2 linked regions of the Macaca fascicularis genome follow. Each later gene encodes a partner of the first gene's protein in a complex. Links are inferred from orthologs where the notes say so. Each region holds a gene or a part of one and is shown on either strand. Other genes may lie near its edges.

Region 1 (6,440 bases):
TAATCCCAGCACTTTGGGAGGCTGAGGCAGGCAGATCACCTGAGGTCAGGAGGTCAAGACCAGCCTGGCCAACATAGTGAAACCCCATCTCTACTAAAAACACAAAAATTAGCCAGGCATGGTGGCGGTTGCCTATAATCTCAGCTACTTGGGAGGCTGAGGCAGTAGAATCACTTGAACCCGGGAGGCAGAGGTTGCAATGAGCCAAGATGGCGCCACTGCACTTCAGCTTGGGTGACAGAGCAAGTCTCCGCGTAAAAATAAAATAAAATAGAAAAGAATAAAGTAAGGTAAAGTAAAAAGTAAACTAAAATAAAATATATCAAGGACTACGCCTGATACATACCAAGAACCATAGAGTGTTAGCTATTATCACTAACAAGAACTACTCTGTGCCAGGCACTATGCCGGGCTTGTTTTGTGCATCAAGTCATTTAATCTGCACTGAGACCCTATGAGGTAGGAACTTTTATCATCATTTCCACTTTACAGATGAGGAAACTGAGGCTCAGATGTTGACCTACCAAAGGTCACCCAGCCTGTAAGTAGCAAAGCCAGGATTTGAACCCAGGCTTCTGGCTCCAGGGCCTGCATTCTTTTCACCTTCATTCCACCATTTCCCACCGTCTCCAGGCCCAGCCCTGACCAGACTCCATGCCATGGCCCGAGACCCTCACAGCCTCTGGGTGGGCTGGGAGCCCCCCAGTCCATGGCCTCGGGGCTATGTGATTGAGTGGGGCCTGAGCCCCCCCAGCACGAGCAATAGCAACAAGACCTGGAGGATGGAACAGAACGGGAGCGCCACGGGGTTTCTGCTGCAGGGTAAGGCTGGCCTGGAAAGTTGGGCAGGGCCAGGGACAAAGGGAGGCAGTGCTTGTCTGACAATAGGCATGGGGCAACCTGAACTGCCCAAGAGACATGGATTCTCCAGCCTTTCTTGATCCTTCACTGTTCTCATTTCATATCCTCATAATCAGGAAGTTCTCCTATAGTCCAACCTGATCCTTTTTCTATAGCCCTGACCCTGCCACCCTTCTAGCTCTCTCTTCTACTTTTCTTCCCTAATTTTCATCAAATGATCTAAAGAAGATTGGCGGAGGTTAACCCTGAATCATGAGCCCAGGTTAGCCCTGACTAGAGGTCTGAGGCTAGCTCCGGATCATTAGCACAGGTTAGCTCCTAACAGGAATGCCTACCTCATTTTCTTTCTACAGAGAACATCAGGCCCTTTCAGCTCTATGAGATCACTGTGACTCCCTTGTACCAGGACGCCATGGGACCCTCCCAGCATGTCTATGCCTACTCCCAAGAAATGGGTTCGTCAACCATCAGGCCCCTTTCCAGAATCCTCTCCTCTCTCTCCCAAGGCTCTGCCTGGTCCCCAGCAATCAGCAGTATAGGGAACATTGCCTTCTTACCATACTTCCGGCCCTGGAGAGCATCTCTCCCAATCCCCTGGCTTAACACTGGATCCCTACAGCTGGACAGAAATCAGGTGCTGTGATAGAAATTGAGTAGAGAGTTGGCACAATTCAAGGAGCAAACCTGGCAAAAATCAATCCATTTCCCAGACAAAAATAAGGTGTTATATGTAACAGAAATTGGACAGAGGGGCCGGATGCAGTGGCTCACACCTGTAATCCTAACACTCTGAGAGGCCAGGGCAGGCAGATCCCCTGAGCTCAAGAGTTTGAGACCAGCCTGGGCAACCTTGTCTCTACAGAAAAATAAATAAATAAATCAACCAGCCAATCAACCAAAAATTAGCTGGGTGCAGTGGTGTGTGCCTGTAACCCCAGCTACTTGAGAGGCTGAGGTGGGAGGATCGGATTGCTTGAGCCCAGGAGGTCGAGGCTGTAGTGAGCCAAGATGGCACCACTGTACTCCAGCCTGGGTGACAGAGCGAGACCCTGTCTCAAAAACAAAAGCAAAAGAAATTGGACAGAGGACCTGGCATAAATTCGGAGAGTGAGTGGCAGAAATCAGAGAGTAAATCAGATGAAATCAGGCCTGGTAGAAATCAGAAAGTGAGGCTCCAGAGTCAAGCAGAGCCAGGTTCAAATCCTGGCTTAGATACTTATTAGCAGTAGGTGGAATCTGGATTAAATCCCTGGGAAAATGAGGCTTGGGCATGAGTCCCCTTGGACTCTTTTCTCACCCACCCCACAGTGCCTGAGAAGCTACAAGAAGTCCAATCGGGCTCTTGCTCTGCCCCACTCCCTTCAGCCCCTGCACCTCTCTCTTCCCACAGCCCCCCGCCATGCCCCAGAGCTGCATCTAAAGCACATTGGCAAGACCTGGGCACAGCTGGAGTGGGTGCCTGAGCCCCCTGAGCTGGGGAAGAGCCCCCTTACCCACTACACCATCTTCTGGACCAATGCTCAAAACCAGTCGTTCTGTGAGTCTATCCTCAGTTCCCCACAGCCCCAGAAGGCCCGGGAGGGGGTGCTCAGCCGCCATGGAGGCAGCTTCAGCATCCAGGCCTACACTGACCGTACACCCCTCCCAGCCACCATCCTGAATGCCTCTTCCCGTGGCTTTGTCCTCCATGGCCTGGAGCCCGCCAGTCTGTATCACATTCACCTCATGGCTGCCAGCCAGGCCGGCGCCACCAATGGTACAGTCCTCACCCTGATGACCTTGATCCCAGGTAAGGGGAGACGAGGGCTGGGCAGAGATGGCTATTGGAAGGGTACCCCACCCAAAGGATGCTGATTTTGAGAGTAGATGGGGACTGACTTTGAATCCCCTGGTCGGAGGGAGGAGACCCAGCCTTCCCCACATGCATTCTAACTTCTTCTGGCCCTGCCCTCACTGCAGAGGGATCCGAGCTACACATCCTCCTGGGCCTGTTCGGCCTCCTGCTCTTGCTCTCCTGCCTCTGTGGAACTGCCTGGCTCTGCTGCAGCCCCAGGTGAGTCCCTTTGAGAGACCTGAGATCCTGCCTCCCCCACCCACAGGGAACCTCAGGTCCAGGTGGGCCCATCTAAGTCCCTTCCAACCTTCCCAAACTTTAGGGCCCATGTCTGAGAGTCCCAGCCCCCAGCTTCTTCTCTCTGCACTAAGGGCAGCTGCATCTCTTCAGGTGGGATGGGTGGGACAAAGGATGGAAAGATTGGAGGGTATGTCTGACCCAGCCTCCCCCTGCCCTCCTCTCCAGCAGGAAGAATCCCCTCTGGCCAAGTGTCCCAGACCCAGCTCACAGCAGCCTGGGCTCCTGGGTGCCCACTATCATGGAAGAGGTGAGAATCCAGGAGGGAGCGGGAAATGAGGTGGGGATGTCAGCCCAGGCTCAGTGAAGGGACACCTTCTGAAGCCAAGTACTCAGGCCTTCCTGTCACTTCCGGCAACACCCCCTCCCTTTGGCGTGAAGCAGACCCAAGTTTGAATCCCAGCTCTGTCCATCTCAAAGCCTCAGCCACCTCCCTGTGATATGGAAAAACTGACCATGCTGAGCCTGAACGGTGCATGGCATGTGTCAGGCATGTGTGAGGAACATACCAGTGCTTTGCAAGTGGAACCCTTTGTGTTCCAGCAGTAACAGCAGGAATGTCCCCACAACTGCCTGGACCTAGACAGGGACGGTGGCTGGGGCAGACATCTGAAAGGAGCCGTGCCCTCACCCCACATCCTTGTGTGCAGGAGGCCTTCCAGCTGCCTGGCCTGGGCATGCCACCCATCACCAAGCTCACAGTGCTGGAGGAGGACGAGAAGAAGCCACTGCCCTGGGAGTCCCATAACAGCTCAGAGACCTGTGGCCTCCCCACTCTGGTCCAGACCTATGTGCTCCAGGGGGACCTAAGAGCAGCTTCCGCCCAGCCCCAATCCCAGTCTGGCACCAGCAATCAGGTCCTCTACGGGCAGCTGCTGGGCAGCCCCACAAGCCCAGGGCCAGGGCACTATCTCCGCTGCGACTCCACTCAGCCCCTCTTGGCGGGCCTCACCCCCAGCCCCAAGTCCTATGAGAACCTCTGGTTCCAGGCCAGCCCCCTGGGGACCCTGGTAACCCCAGCCCCAAGCCAGGAGGACGACTGTGTCTTTGGGCCACTGCTCGACTTCCCCCTCCTGCAGGGGATCCGAGTCCATGGGGTGGAGGGGCTGGAAAGCTTCTAGGGCTTCCTGGGGTTCCCTTCTTGGGCCTGCCTCTTAAAGGCCTGAGCTAGCTGGAGGAGAGGGGAGGGTCCAGAAGCCCATGACTAAAAACTACCCCAGCCCAGGTTCTCCCCATCTCCAGCCACCAGCATCCCCTCTCCCGCCAGTCTCCATAGGCTGGGCCTCCCAGGCAATCTTCATACTTTAAGGACCAGATCATGCTCCATCCGGCCCCACCCAATGGCCTTTTGTACTTGTTTCCTATAACTTCAGTATTGTAAACTAGCTTTTGGTTTGGAGTTTTTGTTATTGTTTATAGACACTCTTGGGTGTACCTGAGTCTCTGCTATTTATTTTTCAGGGCCCAGCAGTCAGGGGGAAACTTCTCAGAGTTGGTCCTTCCCCCCTCCCTCCCTGCCTTCCCCCCTCCCTCCCTGCCTTCCCCCCTCCCTTCCTTCCTCCCTTCCCCCTTCCCTTCCTTCCTCCCTTTTCCTTCTTTCCTCCCTTTCCCTTCCTTCCTTCCTTTCCCTTCCTTCCTTCTGCTAGCTCTCAGCATCTAGGCCCTATGCAAATGACTCAGCTCAGTTCACCCTCAGAGGGCTCCATTCTAGTGGTGGGGACTTGAAAACTGATCCTTAGTGCACAGTGGCATGGGTTACATGGGGGGAGTGACAGAGTGAGGTGGGACACGGTGAAGAGACTTTGGAAAAAACTAACCCCTGTTGGGGAAATATAATTTAAGACAAAATCCCCTGCCAATCCAGAAAACCTCTTCACAAGGGTAGAAAAGCAAGAAAACAGTATTATTGAATAAGCATTAAACCAGAATGTGATACACTGGTGATCCACTAAAGAGACTGCAAAGAGAGAAAAATCTTACCCTTTCATGTAGCCAAGTGAATACAATTTATTGTATCCATTTTCTCAAGATAAACAATAACTGGTCCTCAAGCAAGAGGACTTGGCGGCACCCACTCTAAATTTACCTGGTGGCCGGGCGCGGTGGCTCAAGCCTGTAATCCCAGCACTTTGGGAGGCCAAGATGGGCGGATCACGAGGTCAGGAGATCAAGACCATCCTGGCTAACACAGTGAAACCCCGTCTCTACTAAATATACAAAAAACTAGCCGGGCGAGGTGGCGGGCGCCTGTAGTCCCAGCTACTCGGGAGGCTGAGGCAGGAGAATGGCGGGAACCCGGGAGGCGGAGCTTGTAGTGAGCCGAGATCCGGCCACTGCACTCCAGCCTTGGCGACAGAGTGAGACTCCGTCTCAAAAAAAAAAAAAAAAAATTTTTACCTGGTAAGTGGGAAGCCACCTGTGTCTGCTAATTGCCTTTATCCAAAGGAAATATCTATTTCCCCTATCTTTATGACAAGGGGTAGGTTGCAACTAAGAGCTAGGCACCAACTGAAGTTAGGCTCCTACCCTCCCACAGGAACTAAGAGAGAGAGCACTATCCTCCTTAATTATTACATTTCAAAGAGTTGGCTCCCAGGTCCTTGAGAAAAACATTCCGGGGTTGTAAAACTGGCAAGAGGTTTATTTACCTTTTTATTTATTTTTGTTGTTGTTGTTGAGACGGAGTCTTGCTCTGTCGCCCAGGCTGGAGTGCAGTGGCCGGATCTCAGCTCATTGCAAGCTCCGCCTCCCGGGTTTACGCCATTCTCCTGCCTCAGCCTCCCAAGTAGCTGGGACTACAGGCACCCGCCACCTCGCCCGGCTAGTTTTTTGTATTTTTTAGTAGAGATGGGGTTTCACTGTGTTCGCCAGGATGGTCTCGATCTCCTGACCTTGTGATCCGCCCGTCTCGGCCTCCCAAAGTGCTGGGATTACAGGCTTGAGCCACCGCGCCCGGCCTATTTACCTTTTAAGCAGTAGAAAAAGTATTCACAATTACAAGTTTTCTAAAGTAAATGCTTTCAGAAAAGTGAGAAGAAGGAGTCTTTTCCCTTTTTGCTCCAGGGAAAATTAAATTCTCTTTTTCTTCTAATTTGTATTCACCCTTACACCACTGTTTCACAAATAACATCACCGTTAAGATTTACTAAATGCTCACTATATACCATGTGCTCTGCATACAACTGCCTCAGTTAATCCTCTCAACAACCTAAAGGAGAGATATTGTTATTACTACCCCTACAGGGCCCACAAAGGTTAAGTGACTTGCCCACAAGATCACACGTTGAGTAAATGGCCGAGTTAGGATTCCAGACCAGGGCTGTACGATTCCAAACTCAACGACTTTAGTCTCCAGGCTACCAGGCTGCCAGAGACACGGCTGAAATCCAGTATTAGTTCTTACAGGGTCCCATCCTTGACTAAGGGACTGAGGGGTGGGGTGGAGAAG
Region 2 (7,052 bases), on another chromosome or scaffold:
GCTGAGGCAGGAGAATTGCTTGAACCCGGAGGCAGAGGTTGCAGTAAGCTGAGATCATGCCATTGCACTCCAGCCACTCCAGCCTGGGCAACAAGAGCCAAACTCTGTCTTTAAAAAAAAAAAGTGCCTGACGTATAAGAGGTATGCGATGCAATAGTTGCCAGGCAACATGTTTAAGAATGTGGAGCTTCTGCCTTACATGGTCCTGTTAAAAAACCTACCCTCAAGGCCAGGGGCCGTGGCTCATGCCTGTAATCCCAGCACTTTGGGAGGCTGAGGTGGGTGGATCACCTGAGGTCAGGAGTTTGAGATCAGCCTGACCAACATGGTGAAATCCCACCTCTACTAAAAATACAAAATTAGATGAACATGGTGGTGCATGCCTGTAATCCCAGCTACTTGGGAGGCTGAGGCAGGAAAATCACTTGAACCAGGGAGGCAGAGGTTGTAGTGAGCCGAGATTGTGCCATTGCACTCCAGCCTGGGCAACGAGCAAAACTCAGTCTCAAAAAAACAAACAAACAACAAAAACAACAGCAACAAAATCCCACCCTCTACTCCCAGGGAGCTGGGCACTGAACTGGGCCCCATCACTGCAAGGTGCTGAGCCACGGAGCTGAGGCGGAGCTGCAGGACAGGGGACCAGATGACAGCGTGTGAGATCAGCAGGTGATGTCCCTGCCAGTGGTGACCACCAGGGGGCCCCCAAGTACCAGAGATGGCCCCACCTAGTCACCACGTCCACCATCCAGAGATGTCTGTTTCTTGGCAGGCTGAGGTAAATTAGGACAGAAAGTGACAGTCTTGGGTGTGGTCAGTCAGACTGTCCCAGGCAGGCCCCGTGGCCTGTAGAAAATGCTCAGGCCTAGGCCGGGCGCGGTGGCTCACGCCTGTAATCCCAGCACTTTGGGAGGCCAAGACGGGCGGATCACGAGGTCACCAGATCGAGACCATCCTGACTAACACGGTGAAACCCTGTCTCTACTAAAAATACAAACAATTAGCCGGGTGTGGTGGCGGGCGCTACTCGGGAGGCTGAGGCAGGAGAATGGCGTGAACCTGGGAGGCGGAGCTTACAGTGAGCCGAGATTGCACCACTGCACTCCAGCCTAGGCGACAGAGCGAGACTCCATCTGGAGACAAAAAAAAATGAAAAAGAAAATGTTCAGGCCTAAGCCAGGGGCCCGGGCTGTAATTCTGTCGCTTACCATGACCTTGGGCAAAGCTACTTCCTTCCCTGGCACAGTTCACAGGGCTGGAACCAACTCCAAGGTCCCTTCCAGCATGAATGTTGCATGGTTCTAGGATGAGAAGATGGGGACAGTTTCCCCTCTCTCAGGCCAACCCATGTCCACTTCAAGGTGAATGGCCAGGGAAGTCACGTGTCCCAACCCCCCAGTTCCAAAGCCCTTGGGGACCCTGCTGTCAGGGTCGTGCATGAGGAGGTGAAGGTCAGGTGAAAAAATCGCCTCGAAGGGTCTTGCCTCATTTGGGACAGACATCCGGTTTCCTCTGGGCTCTACCGGGATTCCAGGGGCTTAACTGAATGAGTCATGGGGTCAGGGGGGTTTCTGGGGGAGTTCCCAGCTAATCAGCTTGGGTCAGGACAGCCTGGAACTTTCGATGGTGCCTATCCAAGTGTGGGGTGGGCACTGCAGCCAAGACCCAATGTCCTTATCTCAGGTAGGGGCCCTCAGGAGGTCACCCAGACAGGCAGCCTCTGGAGAGTTTGGGGGTAGGAATGGGGGCAACCAGTTTCTCTCTTAGAATGTGGGGGCTCTGGGGACAGGCTTGAGAATCCCAAAGGAGAGGGGCAAAGACACTGCCCCCGCAAGTCTGCCAGAGCAGAGGGAGACCCCACTCAGCCGCCACTTCCCCACAGGCTGCTGCCGCCTCCAGGCATCTACCAGCGGCTCAGCCTTTGTTCAGCTGTTCTGTTCAAACACCCTGGGACCATTCAGGCCTGGGTGGGGCAGCGGGAGGAAGGGAGTTTGAGGGGGGCAAGGCGACGTCAAAGAAGTATCAGAGATTCCACAATTTCACAAAACTTTCGCAAACAGCTTTTTGTTCCAACCCCCCTGCATTGTCTTGGACATCAAATTTGCATAAATCCTGGGAAGTTATTACTAAGTCTTAGTCGTGGCCCCAGGTAATTTCCTCCCAGGCCTCCGTGGCGTTATGTATAAAGGCCCCCCTGGAGCTGGGCCCCAAAACAGCCCGGAGCCTGCAGCCCAGCCCCACCCAGACCCATGGCTATACCTGCCGCCCAGAGCCCCATGAAGCTGATGGGTGAGTTTCTTGGCCCAGAATGGGAGAGCTGCCCGCCCTGGCATGGGAGGGAGGCTGGTGTGACAGAGGGGCTGGGGATCCCCGTTCTGGGAATGGGGATTAAAGGCACCCAGTGTCCCCGAGAGGGCCTCAGGTGGTAGGGAACAGCATGTCTCCTGAGCCTGCTCTGTCCCCAGCCCTGCAGCTGCTGCTGTGGCACAGCGCACTCTGGACAGTGCAGGAAGCCACCCCCCTGGGCCCTGCCAGCTCCCTGCCCCAGAGCTTCCTGCTCAAGTGCTTAGAGCAAGTAAGGAAGATCCAGGGCGACGGTGCCGCGCTGCAGGAGAAGTTGGTGAGTGAGGCGGGCGAGAGGGCTGTGGAGGGAAGCCCAGTGGGGAGAGCTAAGGGGGATGGAACTGTGGGCCGACATCCTCAGGAAGGGATGTGGGAGAATATTAGGAGCGGTGGAGCTGGGGAAGGCTGGGAAGGGACTTGGGGAGGAGGACCTTGGTGGGGACAGTGCTCGGGAGGGCTGGCTGGGATGGGAGTGGAGGCATCACATTCAGGACAAGAGCCGCTGTGAGATCAGAGGGTGGGGGTGCAGGGCAGAGAGGAACTGAACAGCCTGGCAAGACATGGAGGGAGGGGAAAGACCAGAGAATCAGAGAGGACCAGGGAAGGAGGAGCGGCGACCTGGCCACGGCGAGTCTCACTCTGCATCCTTCCATCCCCAGTGTGCCACCTACAAGCTGTGCCACCCTGAGGAGCTGGTGCTGCTTAGACACTCTCTGGGCATCCCCTGGGCTCCCCTGAGCAGCTGCCCCAGCCAGGCCCTGCAGCTGGTGAGTGTCAGGAAAGGATAAGGCTGATGAGGAGGGGAAAGGAAAGGAGGGACACCCATGGGCTCCCCCAGGTCTCCAGGCTCCAAGCCGGGGGCCTGATGGGAGGGTCTCAGGCAGCACCCCCTAACTCTTCCGCTCTGTCTCCCAGACAGGCTGCTTGAGCCAACTCCATAGCAGCCTCTTCCTCTACCAGGGCCTCCTGCAGGCCCTGGAAGGGATCTCCCCTGAGTTGGGCCCCACCTTGGATACACTGCAGCTGGACATTGCCGACTTTGCCACCACCATCTGGCAGCAGGTGAGCCTTGTTGGGCAGGGTTGCCAAGGTCATGCTGGCATTCTGGGCACCGCAGCCGGGCCTGTCAGCCCCCAGCATTTCCTCATTTGTAATAACACCCACTCAGCAGGGCCCAGCCACTGATCGCAGCTTTCCTTTACAGATGGAAGACCTGGGAATGGCCCCTGCCCTGCAGCCCACCCAGGGTGCCATGCCAGCCTTCACCTCTGCCTTCCAGCGCCGGGCGGGAGGCGTCCTGGTTGCCTCCCATCTGCAGCGCTTCCTGGAGCTAGCGTACCGCGTTCTACGCCACCTTGCCCAGTCCTGAGCCAAGCCCTCCCCATCCCATGTATTTATCTCTATTTAATATTTATGCCTATTTAAGCCTCATATTTAAAGACAGGGAAGAGCAGAACAAAGCCCCAGGCCTCTGTGTCCTTCCCTGCATTTCTGAGTTTCATTCTCCTGCCTGTAGCAGTGAGAAAAGCTCCTGTCCTCCCATCCCCTGGACTGGGAGGTAGATAGGTAAATACCAAGTATTTATTACTGTGACTGCTCCCCAGCCCTGGCTCTGCAGTGGGCACTGGGATGAGCCACAGTAAGCCCCTGGTCCCGAGGGTCCCCACCTGGGGCCCTTGGGAGTATCAGGTCTCCCACGTGGGAGACAAGAAATCCCTGTTTAATATTTAAACAGCAGTGTTCCCCATCTGGGTCCTTGCACCCCTCACTCTGGCCTCAGCCGACTGCACAGCAACCCCTCCATCCCTTTGGGTGTGAGGTCCCTGGACAAGCAGAGGCAGCCAGAGCTGGGAAGCATGGCCCTGGGGTCCCACGAACTTGCTGGGGAATCTCGTTTTTCTTCTTAAGACTTTTGGGACATGGTTTGACTCCCCGCATGAGGAACTCAGGCATCACCGACGTGTCTCCTGTTTTTCTGGGTGCCCTCGGGACACCTGCCCTGCCCCCATGAGGGTCAAGACTATGACTCTTTTTAGGGCTGGGCAGGTGCCTGGACATTTGCCTTGCTGGACGGGGACTGGGGATGTGGGAGGGAGCAGACAGGAGGAATGATGTCAGACGTGTGTGTGAAAGGAAGCTCGACTGTCACCCTCCACCTCTTCACCCCCGACTCACCAGTGTCCCCTCCACTGTCGCATTGTAACCAAACTTCAGGATAATAAAGTGTTTGCCTCCAGTCATGTCCTTCCTCCTTCTTGAGTCCAGCTGGTGCCTGGTCAGGGGCTGGGAAGGTGGCTGAAGGGTGGGAGAGGCCTGAGGGAGGTCGGGGAGGAGGTCCAGGGAGAAGGGGGAAGGTTCTCAAGTTCGTCTGACATTCATTCCATTAGCACGTGTTTATCTGAGCACCCACTCTGTGCAGACGCTGGGCTAAGTGCTGGGGACACAGCAGGGAACAAGGCAGACGTGGAATGAGCAGCCACAGCCGCGCAGGGAAGACAGAGGCACTGGGACCATGGGAACCCGGAAAGGAGAGCACATGGGGTCCAGGTGGGCTTAACAGGCCAGACACAGTCAGACAAGATGAAGCCAGGGAGTGCTGAGCATCTGTACCAGGCTTGTCACTTACCATCTTCCATAAACTTGAGCCCATCCATCAAGTTGGAGTTTCTCTCCTCCTCAGGCTCAGTCTCTGCACTTGCCCCAGCTGGTGCAGCAGCCCCGTAAGCTGAAGAGCGCTAAGCTCACAGCACAGGAGGGTGTGGAGCTGTGGCAAGTACGGGGGCCAGCGACCACACTGCAGGTGTGAGGCCTGCCTGCAGCCAAAGACTCCTGTGTGGCTTTGGGGTACCCCCACCAGCCCCCAGTCCACTATCTGCCCAAGCCTTGTCCTCCTCAGCTCCTCGGTCCCTCCCACCTCCCCAGCCCGTGGCTCCTCGGAAAGCAGGGTCAGAAGTGTCCACTGCCAGGCTCGGAGACGTGTGAGGCAGGCAAGGAAGGGTTAAAGAAAGGTCCGGCCCTCATCCCCCCGCCTCCCATCCCCCAGTCCTTTTTTGGAGGCAACAGACCAAATCCCAGGCTAGTCAGAGTGTGGGTAGGGTTGGGCCAGGTTCGGGAGAAAGCAGAGCAGGCCACCCTGCCCCAGCACTGTGGGGCCCTGAGCCAAAGCCTCTCCCCTTTCAGGGTACAGCTGGCTTTGCGGGAGGGGCAGCAGGCCGGCCAACTTGGCTCCAAGGAAGGGAAGCTGCTTTCCCCTGGCCCTTCCTCAGCTGAGCAAGTCCACATAGGACCCTAAGCCCTGCCACCTCTGCACCTCTTCCTCCTCCTCCTCACCACAGGAGTGCGCTTTCCCCGGCCACAGCACAGGCAGTCCAGGGAGAGAGCACTGTGCCCCGCCCCGGGTGACACTGATACCAACAGCACCCACAGTCGCAAAGGGATCCACGAGGAGCTTTATTTACACATGAACAAAGGTAGATTTCCCTCACATATTACAAAATATATACACACACACACACACACACACACACACACACACACACACTCTCTGCGTCTAGAAAGTTCCTCAGAAGTAAGATTACCCCTGGGCTGGGGCGGGCGCACACAGGGGTGACCACTGGGCTTGTGGTCCAGGCTGCTCACACTCCTCAGGTGCTGGCAGACAGAGAAGAAATTTCAAAAGAGGAAACCAGGAGACATCCTGGAGGTCAGGAGTCAGAAGCGGGGAATTAGAAGCTGCCAGAGGCTCTTGCACCATGTGGAGCGGATGTGAGCCACGATGCCTCATCTTTCCTCACTGCTTCCCTTGGAGGCACCTGGGGCTGTGCCAGTCCCCAGCCCCCAGCCCCCACTGCGGCCATGCCAAGCTCCTCAGAGTGCAGCAATGGCTTTAGCAGCCACCTGGCGGCCCAGGGGCAGGCTGAGGTCCGTGATGGCCAGAACCACCTTGGGGCTGGACATGGCTGACACCTTCACCAGTTCCGACACCTGCCACAGACAGAGATGCTGCTTGCTGGATGGCTGGTGGTGGGCGTGCTGTCCCAGGGGAAGGAGGCCCCTCCCTGCTCCAAGGGCTGCACCGAGGCCCCAGCACCAGCGGGAGAGCCAGGAAGGTGGTACTCACGGTGGTGAAGGGCATGAACTGCAGGACACTGCCGCGGCCACCCTGCTCCAGGCAGTCCACACACTCCTCCATGAACCACTGCACGAACTGGGTGTGGGGCCCAGCGGTGCGCGACCCCAGGATGGAGGAGATGAGCAGGAAGAGGTTGGCTGTGGAGAGTGACAGGAGGGAGTTCCATGAGAGGGGGTGAGGTCACACTCTGGGAGAAGGCGGGACTGAAAAGGGAAAAGAAATACATGCTGAGCATGTCCCCAAAACGGGGTGTCAGAGAGAGAAAATATAAAAGGCAACCGGGGAGGGGAGGGGGGGAACTAGACAGGAGCCTGGGAGCCAGGACAGCCAGCAATGAGGAGCATGGAGGGAGAAGGGAGGGGCACCATGAGGCCCCTTCCAGATGACAAGGTCGCCCAGCCTCCATGAGGAGAGGGACTCGTCCAGCTTAACCCCAGGTTCAGCAGCACGGGTGGGGAACTTACCCAGGACTCGGTTCAGAGGGTCCCGCATGTTGACGGTGTGGAGCTGAGAGGCTGAGAGGGAGCTGCTCATGGACCGGTCTGCTGTGGGACAGAGCAGACAGAGCGCTGGGGAA

Evidence for each region.
Region 2: the proteins of CSF3R (region 1) and CSF3 are in contact, whole or in part, in a crystal structure (PDB 2D9Q), measured with the Homo sapiens proteins. The link is inferred for Macaca fascicularis from reciprocal best matches to the Homo sapiens genes CSF3R and CSF3. Residues at the interface, in NP_000751.1 of Homo sapiens: Arg164, Arg190, Lys191, Leu193, Leu194, Leu195, Tyr196, Gln197, Asp220, Met222, His261, Ile262, Asn263, Arg311, Pro313, Leu314; in NP_000750.1 of Homo sapiens: Ser42, Leu45, Lys46, Glu49, Gln50, Arg52, Lys53, Leu141, Asp142, Asp145, Thr148, Thr149, Gln152.

Annotation. Positions count from the first base shown.
Region 1 is NC_088375.1:198,451,906-198,458,345, forward strand, and holds the end of CSF3R (granulocyte colony-stimulating factor receptor), read left to right. Parts: intron 1-492; exon of another isoform or gene 493-541; intron 542-633; coding exon 634-822; intron 823-1,214; coding exon 1,215-1,316; intron 1,317-2,251; coding exon 2,252-2,398; intron 2,399-2,509; coding exon 2,510-2,650; intron 2,651-2,820; coding exon 2,821-2,914; intron 2,915-3,160; coding exon 3,161-3,242; intron 3,243-3,535; coding exon of another isoform or gene 3,536-3,541; exon of another isoform or gene 3,542-3,642; coding exon 3,643-4,113; 3' UTR 4,114-4,377; downstream 4,378-6,440. UniProt on the Homo sapiens protein: Receptor for granulocyte colony-stimulating factor (CSF3), essential for granulocytic maturation. Plays a crucial role in the proliferation, differentiation and survival of cells along the neutrophilic lineage.
Region 2 is NC_088390.1:61,075,903-61,082,954, forward strand, and holds CSF3 (granulocyte colony-stimulating factor), read left to right. Parts: upstream 1-2,214; 5' UTR 2,215-2,249; coding exon 2,250-2,289; intron 2,290-2,465; coding exon 2,466-2,620; intron 2,621-3,002; coding exon 3,003-3,110; intron 3,111-3,258; coding exon 3,259-3,405; intron 3,406-3,547; coding exon 3,548-3,712; 3' UTR 3,713-4,579; downstream 4,580-7,052. Other genes in the region: MED24 (mediator of RNA polymerase II transcription subunit 24), read right to left, coding at 6,211-6,327, 6,464-6,612, 6,940-7,020. UniProt on the Homo sapiens protein: Granulocyte/macrophage colony-stimulating factors are cytokines that act in hematopoiesis by controlling the production, differentiation, and function of 2 related white cell populations of the blood, the granulocytes and the monocytes-macrophages.